Saccharomyces cerevisiae S288C: one gene and its partners. The gene in region 2 interacts genetically with the main gene of each other region. Each region holds a gene or a part of one and is shown on either strand. Other genes may lie near its edges.

What was found. A genetic interaction does not mean that the proteins touch.
Region 1: mutations in PHO90 (region 2) and PMA2 together harm fitness more than expected from each alone (negative genetic interaction), as found in Saccharomyces cerevisiae (2 studies listed by BioGRID).
Region 3: mutations in PHO90 (region 2) and DIT2 together harm fitness more than expected from each alone (negative genetic interaction), as found in Saccharomyces cerevisiae (2 studies listed by BioGRID).

Annotation. Positions count from the first base shown.
Region 1 is NC_001148.4:480,829-486,213, reverse strand, and holds PMA2 (H(+)-exporting P2-type ATPase PMA2), read right to left. Parts: upstream 3,372-5,385; coding exon 528-3,371; downstream 1-527. Other genes in the region: EGD1 (Egd1p), read left to right, coding at 4,313-4,786; MET31 (Met31p), read right to left, coding at 5,146-5,385. UniProt on the Saccharomyces cerevisiae protein: The plasma membrane ATPase of plants and fungi is a hydrogen ion pump. The proton gradient it generates drives the active transport of nutrients by H(+)-symport. The resulting external acidification and/or internal alkinization may mediate growth responses.
Region 2 is NC_001142.9:58,870-64,005, forward strand, and holds PHO90 (SPX domain-containing inorganic phosphate transporter), read left to right. Parts: upstream 1-1,974; coding exon 1,975-4,620; downstream 4,621-5,136. Other genes in the region: MBB1 (Mbb1p), read right to left, coding at 987-1,313; putative ubiquitin-specific protease UBP12, read left to right, coding at 4,936-5,136. UniProt on the Saccharomyces cerevisiae protein: Low-affinity phosphate transporter involved in the control of cellular phosphate levels.
Region 3 is NC_001136.10:1,271,707-1,275,366, reverse strand, and holds DIT2 (putative cytochrome P450), read left to right. Parts: upstream 1-1,663; coding exon 1,664-3,133; downstream 3,134-3,660. Other genes in the region: DIT1 (Dit1p), read right to left, coding at 1-765; URH1 (trifunctional uridine nucleosidase/nicotinamide riboside hydrolase/nicotinic acid riboside hydrolase), read right to left, coding at 3,282-3,660. UniProt on the Saccharomyces cerevisiae protein: Involved in spore wall maturation. Thought to catalyze the oxidation of tyrosine residues in the formation of LL-dityrosine a precursor of the spore wall.

The DNA.
Region 1 (5,385 bases), on a different chromosome or scaffold from region 2:
TGTGCTTGTATGTAAATAAGTGTGCATTATATGTTTATTAAAAATTAAGAATTAGATTGATTTAATGTTTCGAAAAAAAAAATATTTAGTCATTTCACCATGTTGGATGGGAATTCGTGTGTTGTTATTGGAATGATTCTTCCTTTTTGGAGAGGAAAATAGTCAAAAGAACACGAAATAATATGAAAAAAATTTTCCATATGAATTTGCATCCAATCAAGCAAAAGATCGGCCTACTTCTGATATGTGGATATGTTTGTTTGTGTGTGTGTGTGTGTGTGTGTGTGATAAAATTGACAGATATGATGCCACTTAGTCTAAAAACTTGTGTGTAAACTTTAAAACTGTAACATCATATCGAAGGTATCAAACAGAGCACAATTGAAGAGGCATTAATTTGATTTTTGTTGACCGTGTTCTTTTATAACGTCTTGGCTTCCTTGGTATCGACAAATTGAAATGAAAATGAGGAATAACAAAAAGGAGATCAATAAGAAAAAAAATCAGATGGATGATGTTTAAAATTACTAACTGCTTTTTTCGTGTTGAGTAGAAACTCTTTGCATAGCAGCCATGAAATCTTCGACACTTCTTGTAGACTTCTTTTCCTTTAATGACTTACCATTCATCAACCTATCAAAGGCTTGAGACGTGGACATAATATAGTAAAATCCTCCCAATACACAAAAAATACCAATGGACCAAATCCAGACACGAACGACTGACACAATATCAGTCCAGTTTTCAGACCACCAGCCAAATAAGGTAAACATGGTAGCAATAATATCAACGGCGAAAACGGCACCGGCTAACTGCCACGATGGAATGGAAGACCAGAATGGGCCAGCAGCTCTAGTGACAAAAATTAACCAATTTTCAGTTAGTGAAATCTGCAGGAACATGACACCATTCATGGCACCAAAATTTTGGATAATACCACCATTAGGCAAGAACATGGTGGTTAAAGTAATCCAAGAACCTATAGCTAAAACTATGCCCAAAATAATAGACATACCCCATAATCTTGGTAGGTTCCATTTCACAGGTTCAGGAGCATAAGGAGCATTGTCATAAGCAATAGTTAAAGTGGCAACGTCTGCGAAAATAGCAATAAAAACGATCAAATTGATATCCAAAGAGTTGTTTAAAATAGCAATCCATAAACCCAGGAAAATCTCCAAATGTAAGGATAGGGCAATACGATAAACAACATAGGAGTACATTCTGTGGAAAATCTGTCTAGAAGTCTTTAAGGCATCAATAATAGCAGAGAGACCAGGGGCCAAGAAAACAATATCAGCGGCTGATCTGGCAGCATCGGTAGCACCTTCGACAGCAATACCAGTATCAGCCTTCTTCAAAGATGGGGCATCGTTAACACCATCACCAGTCATAGCAACCAAGTAACCTCTGTTTTGCAAGATTTCAACGACTCTGTATTTATGCTGTGGGAAAACTTCTGCGAAACCATCGGCATTTTCAACAAAATCAGCCAACTCTGAACCAGGCATATCACCTCCACCTCCCAGACCTAACCTTTCTGCGTTATAAATGTTTGTACCAAGTCCTAATTGCCTACACGTTTCTTTCGCGATACCAACAGCGTCACCGGTTAACATCTTGATTCTCAAACCAAGGTTTCTGGCCTCATTGATTGTTTGAGCGGTGTCATCTCTAGGGGGGTCCATACATGGCATAACACCCAAGATTTCCCAGTGACCTTCCCCTCTCTTTCTAGCAACACCTAAAGCACGGAAACCTCTAGAAGCTAGTTCAGCAACCTTATTTTCGTAGTTTTCATGCACATCTTCCGGAATTGGGTGATCTTCTTCAACAGTCTTCAAGACAAACAATGGGGCTCCCTTGACACAAACAATTCTTTCACCTTCTGGGGATTCTACAACAGCGGTAACCTTTTTTGAGACAGGGTCGAACGGATGGAATTCCAAAACTTTGTACTTGGTCAGGGCGTCTTTAGCTTTTGGATACTCAATCAATGACTTCAAAAAAGCCTTATCAATAGCATCCAAACCTTTCTTCTTTCTAGAGGCAGCTAAACAAGCGGTCAACATCAAGTCGTCCGGAGAAACGCCTTCGACAGTGTAGGGTTCGTGTAAAGATAACTTGTTTTTGGTTAAAGTACCAGTCTTGTCAGAACATAAAATCTCAACACCAGCAAGGGATTCAATAGCAGATAACTTTTGAACAATGGCTTGCTTCTTAGCCAAGTAAGCTGCACCGACAGCCATGGTCGTGGTAACAACTGCTGGCAAACCGACTGGGACACCAATGATGGTTATACCCAAAGTATATCTCAAAATGCTTACAATACCGACCGTTCTATAGAAACATGCGGTCCAGACCAACAACAAAGTAGCGATAACTAGAACAAGTAAGATAATACCAATTCCATTCAATACTTCAGTGAAATGGCCCTCTACACCGGAAGCCTGCCCCACTAAGGCGGCAGCCCTACCGACGAAGGTATTGTCACCAGTGGCAGTAACAACCATAAAAGCCTCGCCGGTTTTCACAGTGGATGAGGAGAACACCTCATCACCGTAATGCTTTTCAGCGGCTAAGGATTCACCAGTGATGGCCGATTGATCGATCTGCAAAAAACAGTCTTCAGTGACAATACGACCATCTGCGGGAGCAATTGTGCCACTTTCCAATTGCAAAATCTCACCAGGAACTACCTCATTAGCCGGAATTTCGATCAATTGGCCATCTCTAATAACTGTTGCAGTATTGGCCAACGTCTTTTTCAGCTCGTCTACGATGGAACCTGCCTGGAATTCTTGAATAAATCCGACAGATGCGTTTAATAGCAGTAAAGCACAGATGACACCGACATCAACCCAATCAGACAAACCGGCAGCCAAAATAGCAGCAGCCTCCATAACGAATTGAATAGGCCCTACGAAGAACATCAAAAACTTCACAATCAACGATTCATTCTCCTCAGCCATTTGATTTAACCCATATTTCTTTCTTCTCCTGGCGACTTCATCCGAAGTCAAACCATACGCAGGGTCCGTAGAAAGGTCCTTTTCAGGAACAACCCTTTGGCCAGCGTGCACCCCATCAGTACGTACTTCTTCTTCACCAGATTCATCACCCTCACCGTAGTTAGATTGTAGTTCATCAATCAATTGGTCTATATCTTCATCTGAGTCAGAATCATCAGCGGCAGAAGCGGCTGCGGCCTTCCGTGGAACGGCTGCAGCCGATGACGAGGCGGAAGTTGATGTAGAAGACGAAGATGACGAAGAAGCGGCAGAATTATTTGCAGGGTCATCGCCATCACTGGCATGGAGGTACTCTTTCGAGGGTTTCTCCTTGTATTGCTTTGCTTCAGTGGAAGACATAACGCAAAACAGTTTCCTTTTGCTTAAATTGTACTAGCACACAGCAACGAAAAATGAAAAAAAAAAAGTTATGGGTATGTTTAAAAAAGCCCAGTAGCTTGGATACAGTAGGTTATCCAGCAAGAAATGCTGGAAGAAATAATAGATGGTAAAAGAGGATATTACACACCTTTATATAACGAAGTACCATCACACCGCCAATTACGTTTAGGGGACGCCGACAAGAAGTAAATTCACTATTATGTACTTACAAATATGTTTCCACCGATAACCTTTCCCCCTTCGACGGTTATTTGAGCAGCGTCTGTCCGCCATTTTTCCAGAGAAGCTACTTCATCAATCAATTGACTTCGCAATTCCCTTAAACAAAAAAAATTTCTTTTGCCCTCCCTCGACGATTTTGGAGTAGAGAATACCTTAGGCCTTTTTTTTTCTTTTTTCTCACGGCTGCTCTTCCTCTTTTTCGCATATTCTATTTTATCATCGACTTCCCTAATTCGCACTCGTACCAAAATGTTAAGCAGTATGGCGAAGAACGTGGCGCGCTGGAGTCGTGAATGTTTGGGTCCTTGATGATGGACTACGGTAGTAAGTATGTAGTAGTTGCAACTTCATATGTTCACTTCTGATCCAAGGAAGAGCGGTTATGAATTAATCTCTTGGCATGAGCGGACGGGTAAGGGGACACCGCCTTTTCTTCGATGGGAATCAGGGTAATGGTATATGATGGATTATTGTGGAATCATTTAGTACGGCAGATGTTGAAAAAAAAAGCAGAAAATTTTTGAATTTTTTTCGTTGACATTGGAAGATTTCGTAGTGGAAACAGCTGCAATTGCTTGTTAAGTAGTAACCCCTCCTTTGTCACAAGAGAGCGAATATTCTTTCTAGGGAGGTTTAAGAATAGAACATCTCACACCAGACGCGACTCATAATTCATAATGCCAATTGACCAAGAAAAATTAGCTAAGCTACAAAAGTTGTCTGCTAACAACAAAGTTGGTGGTACTAGAAGAAAGCTTAACAAGAAGGCAGGCTCTTCTGCCGGTGCCAACAAGGATGACACCAAGTTGCAAAGTCAATTAGCTAAGTTGCACGCTGTCACCATTGACAACGTCGCCGAAGCCAACTTTTTCAAGGACGACGGTAAGGTCATGCACTTCAACAAGGTCGGTGTCCAAGTTGCTGCTCAACACAACACTTCTGTATTCTACGGTCTACCACAGGAAAAGAACTTGCAAGATTTGTTCCCAGGTATTATCTCTCAATTGGGCCCTGAAGCCATCCAAGCCTTGTCTCAATTGGCTGCCCAAATGGAAAAGCACGAAGCCAAGGCTCCAGCTGATGCTGAAAAGAAGGATGAAGCTATTCCAGAGTTAGTTGAAGGTCAAACTTTTGATGCTGACGTCGAATAAATAACTTAATCTTTAATTTTAACGTTAAATAAAAAAACACATATTTTGTTCCATTTTTTTTCATTTTTTTTAGCATATCTAAAGCATATAATACAAACACTGTTTTCTGCAAAAAAAAAAAAATAAAAAATAAAATATAAAAAAACAATATACCACACTATGCTGCACACGTGAAATGATGAACTTGTACGTCACCACTTTGTGCGCAAAAAATTGGCAAAAGTAGAGAACATGTCACTAACTGTATCGGAATATTACAACGTTTTTTTATTCTACTTATCTCAATGGCTAAAGTATATATCTATCTATATATGTATGTGTAGGTGTGCTGATGGAGACAAATACGTTTTCCTCTAGCCTTACAACAGGCCGGTACCATTCTTTATCGCATCCTTGATGAGCTCATCTACATCAACGTCTGAACCTTCACTTAGTTTCTTTCTGTTTCTTTGACAGGTCAGTGTGTTAGAATGTCTTTTTAGAGCATCCTTCCTGGCAAACCCTTTGCCACAGTTTGAGCAAATATGCGGCAGCACGAGTGAGTGTACCTTTTCATGTCTTCTCAGATCAGAACTTCTGCTGAATTTCAACTGACATTT
Region 2 (5,136 bases):
TATTTTTGCAAGTGCGCAAATCGAATAATACGAAAAGATGAAAATATTTTAGTTTATATACATGTTTGATGCCATACCATCTATTGACATAATCTACGATGTGAGAGCTGTATGATATTGTGGAACTTTGTATATATTGAAAAAATTTTCCAGTGGAATTTTACTCGCGATGACTCAAGAGCGTGAAAAAAAAAAAAAAAAAAAAATTAATTGCTAAAAAATCAAATATATGCTTCCAATCGGATTTGAACCGATGATCTCCACATTACTAGTGTGGCGCCTTACCAACTTGGCCATAGAAGCTTCTATTTTATATTTGCCTGACCTATTTTAACGGTTATATTCCACAAACATTTTAATCATGAAGCAATTTTTTTGATGTTGATGTGAGAGTAATAAGCACTGTGCTGAGAAGAGGATCAACAACATGATATTCTACGGAACGTAAAGGATACAATGTTATTGGACTAAGAATCGTCTATCATCTTAAGAAATGGGTGGATGATCGGACAATTATTGAGAAGGTTTCATTGTGGAGAACAAATCGCAATATTGTGCAATCCTTTAGATATGTCAAGATAAAATACTAGGGAGGCTTCGCCCATTCATTAAAGAGTATAGCTACCGCATACTGTTTAGTAGTATACTATCACATGTGGTGTAAAAAGATAACATAAAGATTGAGAATCAGTCATCAAATGTAATGGAAGCTGAAAATGCAAGGATTGATAGTGTAATAGGAACGAAACATATGAAAACGGAATGAGGAATAGTCGTATTATTAGTATGTATAGATTCCATTTGAGAATTCTTATATCCTCGAGGGGAACTTCTAGTATATTCTGTATACATAATATTGTAGCCTCTATCAACAACGGAATCCCAACAATTATCTCAAAACTCACTTATATCTCACAAAACACTCAATAGCGACCCTTAAATGTTACTGAACCTCATATTGTTTCGCTCTGCTCCCTTATATATTGTTAATGCAATCGGGACAGCTCACTGACTGAACGGTGAATAGTGGCTCCCGGAAAGCTGAGAGTTGTGAACTCGCCACCTCTGTTAAGTAAGTCGTAAGCTGTTAAAGCTGCGTCACGAGTAATGAGCTGCCAGTTCGGCCTCTGATCGCTGTACTTTATGGTAAAAAGATAGTTCCTAGTAGAAGACGAGTCATACTCGTAAACAAGCACCGCTGGATACTCTTCTCTATCAAGACGTAAAGCGTACTTGTAATCTCTAAGTTCGCCAATCCAAATTTCTGATATGCCACTCATTATCCTCACCCCACATGCTGACACCTTATACATTCAATATCTCCCTTCTCCTACTTAACCTTATGTTACCCTTTTTTTTTGGCTTGCATTTATATTTGGTTTACATAGCAACAACCGATAGCGGGTAACAGCATTAAGCTTCCCATCTCCCGTTCACTGTTATTACCTTTGGCACGTAAAGGGCCGGCTAATAATGTCGTATTTCCACTGATTTGGATGTATGTTGCATGGTGCTAGATTGTGAATAAATCATTTCCACTGGTTTCTAGCAGAGGTAAGAAAATCAGTAGTAGCGGCAGCAGCCAAGAAAAATGGCAGCCTGGCAAGCAGCGAAGGCCATCTGTGCTGCATTTCCACACTCCTTGTATGACTGCATACGCATAAAGAGGTGCCTTGCTGTAGGCGTATATGATCCTAAGCAACAGAGAAACCACGGTTCTCTTCTCTTCTTATTTCGTTATTGTCTTCCCTTTTTACTATGGGTAAAGTCGCCCTAAAGCGGGGCGCTCACAATATCGCCGCAGCTACAGCCGTTTTTTTTTTTTTTGTTTTTTTTTGCGCTGCTTCTCGAAGAATGAATGGCTCACTGAAAAATTTTGATTCATCGATATAAAGAACACTGTTCACTTCGATGTCATCCGGCCAATAAAGTTGTTTTTAGGATAAACGAGTAAGTGGTAGCTGGTACAGGATCATGAGATTTTCACACTTCTTGAAGTACAATGCTGTCCCAGAATGGCAAAACCATTATATGGACTACAGCGAGCTGAAAAATCTTATTTACACGCTACAAACAGATGAACTTCAGGTTGGTGATAACGAAGAAGGATTTGGCGCAGGAAAGAGCTCTAACATTACAGATAGGTTCAAAAACAAGTTTTCTTTTAAAAATGCGAAGGAAGATACGTCTTCCGGTATGAACAAAGATGCAGGCATCGTTGAGGAAACCATCGAGTTGCGAGAGTTGCCTACTGCTCAGACGGTCGCTGCCAAACCTTCTCCTTTCAGAAGAATGAAGGAAAAGATATTTTACAAAAGAAGGTCGTCTTCCGCATCGTCCGTCTCCTCCACGGCCAACGAAAATCTGCAATTAGACACTTATGATACGTTTGTTGGTGATTTAACAGCTGAAAAACAGAAAGTAGATGATTTTTATAAGAGGACAGAAGCGAAGTTCTACGACAAATTTGACGCGCTGGTGAAGGACCTGAAGAAAATCGGAGTTATAGAATACGATATCGACGATGATACTCTGTTTAACGAACCGATTGCCAGCACAAATGACGAAGTTCCCCCACTAGACTTGGATGATGACGAAGACGACGACGAATTTTACGATGATCAATCTAATATTGAAGATAATACTGCTTTGCTGCATCATTCGCAGTATAACATTAAGTCTCAGAAAAAATCGCTGTTGAAGAAGTCGATCGTAAACCTATATATCGATCTTTGCCAGTTGAAGTCGTTCATCGAATTGAACCGCATTGGGTTTGCAAAAATTACAAAGAAATCAGACAAAGTTCTTCACTTGAATACAAGAACCGAACTGATCGAATCGGAGCAGTTTTTCAAAGACACATATGCATTCCAGGCAGAAACGATCGAATTGCTAAATTCCAAAATTTCCCAGCTAGTCACATTTTATGCGCGCATCACTGACCGGCCTCATAATATCTCGCATAGCAAGCAAGAGTTGAAATCCTACCTGCATGACCACATTGTTTGGGAAAGAAGTAACACTTGGAAAGACATGTTGGGACTGCTATCGCAAGCTGACGAGTTGACACCAAAGGAAACAGAATATAATGCAAATAAGCTGGTAGGCAAGTTAGATTTGGAATACTACAGATGGCCACTACCCAGACCGATAAACTTAAAATTCACTAGTATAAACAACGTTGCACTACCGAAATTATTTTTCACCAAGAAAGCATACAAGATTTACTTTATTATTCTAGTCACTGGACTCTTGTTAGGAATAAAGACCTTCAACGACGCTGCTCAGCACCGCTGCATGGCCCTTGTCGAGTGTGTCGCCTTTTTGTGGGCTAGTGAGGCCATCCCATTACACATTACAGCATTCCTTGTACCACTACTTGTAGTCCTTTTCAAAGTCCTAAAAACCTCCGACGGGGCTATAATGAGTGCTGCAAGCGCTTCATCAGAAATTTTGGCCGCCATGTGGTCTTCTACAATTATGATTCTGCTGGCAGGTTTTACTTTGGGTGAAGTACTTGCACAATATAACATCGCCAAAGTTCTTGCCTCGTGGTTGTTGGCCTTCGCTGGTTGTAAACCCAGAAACGTTCTTTTAATGGCAATGTGTGTCGTGTTCTTCCTATCAATGTGGATTTCCAATGTCGCAGCACCTGTTCTAACATATTCGTTGTTATCTCCCCTATTGGATGCCATGGATGCAGATAGCCCATTTGCGCAAGCATTGGTGTTAGGTGTAGCGTTGGCTGCAAATATCGGTGGTATGTCTTCACCAATCTCTTCACCTCAAAACATCATTTCCATGTCGTACTTGAAACCCTATGGTATTGGCTGGGGCCAATTCTTTGCTGTTGCATTGCCATCTGGTATCCTGGCCATGCTTTTGGTTTGGATTTTATTGTTCACTACTTTCAAGATGAATAAGACCAAATTGGAAAAATTTAAGCCTATTAAGACGAAATTCACAGTTAAGCAGTATTATATCATTACTGTCACTGTGGCCACTATTTTGTTGTGGTGTGTGGAAAGCCAGATTGAAGGTGCTTTTGGGTCATCAGGTCAAATTGCAATCATTCCCATCGTTTTGTTTTTTGGTACCGGATTACTATCAACACAAGATTTAAATGCCTTTCCGTGGTCAATCGTTATTTTGGCAATGGGAGGTATTGCTTTGGGGAAGGCCGTCTCATCCTCGGGTTTGCTATCAACCATTGCAAAAGCATTACAAAAGAAAATTGAGAATGATGGTGTTTTTGCCATTCTATGTATTTTCGGTATCCTGATGTTGGTTGTGGGTACTTTCGTCTCGCATACAGTATCCGCTATTATCATCATTCCCTTGGTGCAAGAAGTTGGTGACAAGCTTGGCAACCCCAAAGCTGCTCCTATCCTTGTTTTCGGTTGTGCATTATTGTCATCCTGTGGTATGGGACTAGCTTCTTCGGGGTTCCCCAATGTCACTGCCATCTCTAAAGTAGATAGAAAGGGCGATCGCTATTTAAGTGTCATGACTTTCTTAACGAGAGGTGTTCCAGCTTCTATTTTGGCTTTCCTATGTGTCATTACTCTAGGTTATGGTATCATGGCATCTGTTGTCAAGGGTAACGCAACCTCTGCGTAAGAGATACGTCTACGATAGCATGTAACAGCGTATATATAATCTATATGTATTCGATTAATCCAACACTTCTGTTGTGTAGTCTAATGTTCGAAAAAAAGGTACGCTTCCCTGTTATAATCAGGTATATTTCGTTATTCTTATAAGCTAAAAGATTAAAAATTTTTCCACTTTCCTTGAAATTTGGTCGGTTCGTGGAAAAATATTATTACGTATTGAAGAAGTGCATGAAGATAAAAGATGGGATTACTGGAAAAATAAAGGGAGGAAAATCCTGCAGAACGTTGTTGTTTCAATCGAAGGTTTCTTCATTCGAAAATGGGTTCTTCAGATGTTTCAAGTCGTGAATGTTCATTGGTTTATAATGAAGATCCCGATTTCACCGATGGCACAACACCATGTGATCGGTTGGGAGTGGACTTGATGAATGTTCTAGATGACAAGGATGAAATAAAGCAAGAGTCTGTCCCAGTCTCAGATCGTGAAATTGAGGATACGGAATCCGATGCTTCCGCTGTT
Region 3 (3,660 bases), on a different chromosome or scaffold from region 2:
GACAAGGTCTTGTGTGGCTTTTATTAATCTTTTCAAAGCGAGTTCTTCGCCTTTGTCAGGAACGGAACCGTACACTTTTTGCTCATTAGATGACTTACATGGAAACGCTGGCAAGATGCATTCAATTCTCAAATATCGATCGGTAAAATATCTTGAACGTTCAATAAAATAATCACGGCCACCAAAATTCCATTGATCATTAACTATTGTGTTTTTCAAATTTTTCTCAAAAAAATCTGCAAATAATTCGTGATACTTAACTTCTTTGGTTACAATTGGATGTTCACTTAGAGATAATTGAGATTGGTCTAAAATATGATATACGAACCAGTTATTGAAAGAATTTTCATTCTCAACTGTTGTAACACACCCACGAATCTGGCGTTCGTCATCGCGTGTATATTCAGAAATCTTTATTGCCACTCCTAAATTATTGGTAAATTTATTTGCTAAAGAAGCTGGCAAAATTCTTTCAGAAACCCGTCCACTTACTTCGGATTCAGAAAAGTCCAGATTGTGAATAGTGTTGATAAAGTCGAGCCATTGGTCTCCAAATTTACAATTCTGTTTTTCCTCTAAAGAGTAAAAATCGTCACATTTGTCGCTTCTGCAATACAGGGCCAGAAATTTACTATATGTAGACAAATCGGCCCCATTATGGGGAATATCAATATCTTTCAACGTATCAGTCGATGAAGAAAATGAAGAGGCAGGTGGTGATATTGACTGCTCGGAGCTTGAGGGCAAGTTGCTAGTAAATGTCATTTTTGTTAATGTCTCGACAAAGCTTTACCGAATTAGGATATTAACAAATTGTTTATTTAGTCAAGACTTTGCGGAGGAGCACAATTTATGTGAAAATTTATTTCAATATTTATACATCATTTTTGATTCTGAACCTATTTTCAGAAATTGTTTTACAACATCGTAGGGCAGGCACTATGCCCTTGCAAATTTTATGATATACTGTCCACTGAAAGCAATGCAATCAAAATTCAAATAAACTCCTGAGGGGCCAATAATATAAGGATTTTTAGCACGCGACGTCTGGGATTGAGTGCCATGTATGTAAAGACGAGCAATTACTTTATGTTCCCTTATTTGTGAGGGGTTCCTGGTTTGCTTTTTTCGATCAATTCTCCTGATATTATTGAGTAAATTAGACAAATTGTTAGGAAACAACAAATTCCGATGCTTACTTACCCCTTAAATTTTCTCATTGCTCTTCATTGAGGTTGCATACCTCACCATATTTGTCATAGAAGGTCCCTTAAGGCGCCTTTTTATTTTTTCTTGGCAAGAGAACCCTTTTATTTATGGCCAGACGCGCGTCGCAAAAAAAGGTAAACATCAATAATTTTCCTTCCAGGGACTCTCAATAAAAAGACTGTAACTTGTATTATCAAATTGAGAAGCAATTACGTATTCCACCCCTCATTACTTCCCCGATACAATTTATTTTCACTTCTTTCGATGAATGCAGTGATTTCTATCTTTCCCGAAAATTACAAGCCACGGACCACAAGAGGAATGACTGGTCATCCTGATGCGAATAGTATATTAGGTAGTGCAAAAAAATACATTAATTTTCTTGAAATATTTTCGTTTTTTCAAAATGGTATTTGATTCAGACTAAGAGAATAAATCGAAAAAAGCATTAAAAATGGAGTTGTTAAAGCTTCTGTGTTTGATTTTATTTCTTACTCTTTCCTATGTCGCCTTTGCAATCATTGTCCCACCTCTAAACTTTCCCAAAAATATACCCACCATCCCATTTTATGTAGTATTTTTACCAGTAATATTTCCCATTGATCAAACGGAGCTATACGATCTTTATATTAGGGAATCAATGGAAAAATACGGTGCTGTAAAATTTTTCTTTGGTTCACGGTGGAATATTCTCGTTTCTCGTTCTGAGTATCTAGCACAAATATTCAAAGATGAAGATACTTTTGCGAAGAGCGGTAATCAAAAGAAAATCCCATACAGTGCTCTTGCCGCTTACACAGGGGACAATGTCATTAGCGCGTATGGTGCAGTTTGGAGAAACTACAGAAATGCTGTGACAAACGGGCTCCAACATTTTGACGATGCACCTATATTCAAAAATGCAAAAATTTTATGCACTTTGATAAAAAACAGACTCCTAGAAGGACAAACTTCGATCCCTATGGGACCTTTATCCCAGAGAATGGCATTGGATAACATTTCACAGGTTGCCCTTGGATTTGATTTTGGTGCTCTAACACATGAAAAAAATGCTTTCCACGAGCATTTGATTCGTATTAAAAAGCAAATATTTCATCCATTCTTTTTAACTTTTCCATTCCTTGATGTTCTTCCTATTCCTTCAAGAAAAAAAGCCTTCAAGGATGTTGTTAGTTTTAGAGAACTTCTCGTTAAAAGAGTTCAAGATGAATTAGTCAATAATTACAAATTTGAACAAACTACTTTTGCTGCCAGTGATCTAATTCGTGCTCACAATAACGAAATAATCGACTACAAACAGTTGACCGATAATATCGTCATTATCCTTGTCGCTGGCCATGAAAACCCGCAGTTGCTATTTAATAGTTCACTCTACCTTCTAGCCAAATATTCAAATGAATGGCAAGAGAAACTCAGGAAGGAAGTAAACGGCATCACTGATCCAAAAGGCTTAGCAGATTTACCCTTATTAAATGCTTTTCTCTTCGAAGTAGTAAGAATGTATCCTCCTTTGAGCACAATTATTAATAGATGTACTACCAAAACGTGCAAGTTGGGGGCGGAAATTGTTATACCCAAGGGCGTATATGTCGGGTACAACAACTTTGGAACCTCACACGATCCCAAAACTTGGGGCACAACAGCAGATGATTTTAAACCAGAAAGATGGGGTTCAGATATCGAAACCATAAGGAAAAACTGGAGAATGGCGAAAAACAGATGTGCTGTGACTGGGTTCCATGGAGGCCGAAGAGCATGCCTAGGGGAAAAACTAGCCCTAACAGAAATGAGAATTTCTTTGGCTGAAATGTTGAAACAGTTTCGATGGAGTCTTGACCCTGAATGGGAAGAAAAATTAACTCCCGCTGGGCCTCTTTGCCCTCTTAATTTAAAGTTAAAATTTAACGAGAATATAATGGAATAAATATAAAACATGTAGAATTGTATATATACGCATATATGTATACAATCGCGACAACTTTTAGTGAAACTTCTTTGTATCCAGTGAAAATGAAAGGAACAGAACCTGACCAAAGGTCAGTAGAAAAAAAAAAAGCCTTTTATAGAAGTTCTTATCCAATCGTTGACATTTTGTCTGCTCTATTTAATGCTTCAAAAATCTGATCCCAAAAGTACTGGATATTCAAATCGAGACCAATTATTGTACCAACATCACTGTCATTTGGATATTCTTTTTCAATGATAATTTTCCCTGAGTTTTCGTTGAAAACATCATCAATGCAGGATATGTCCATTCTCTTGTAGCGAAATCCAACCGCAGACGATGGATCCCACCCATAAAATTCCAAAAGCGGCATCAAAGCTACCGGATCATGTATAGGTGGGCCCGATTCAAATCCTTGCATATCCTTGTAGGTATGAGCAAAAAATTGAAAAAGCTCCAAAAACAATTCTCGTAACTTGCTGTTATTCTTTTCGTTGTATATCATT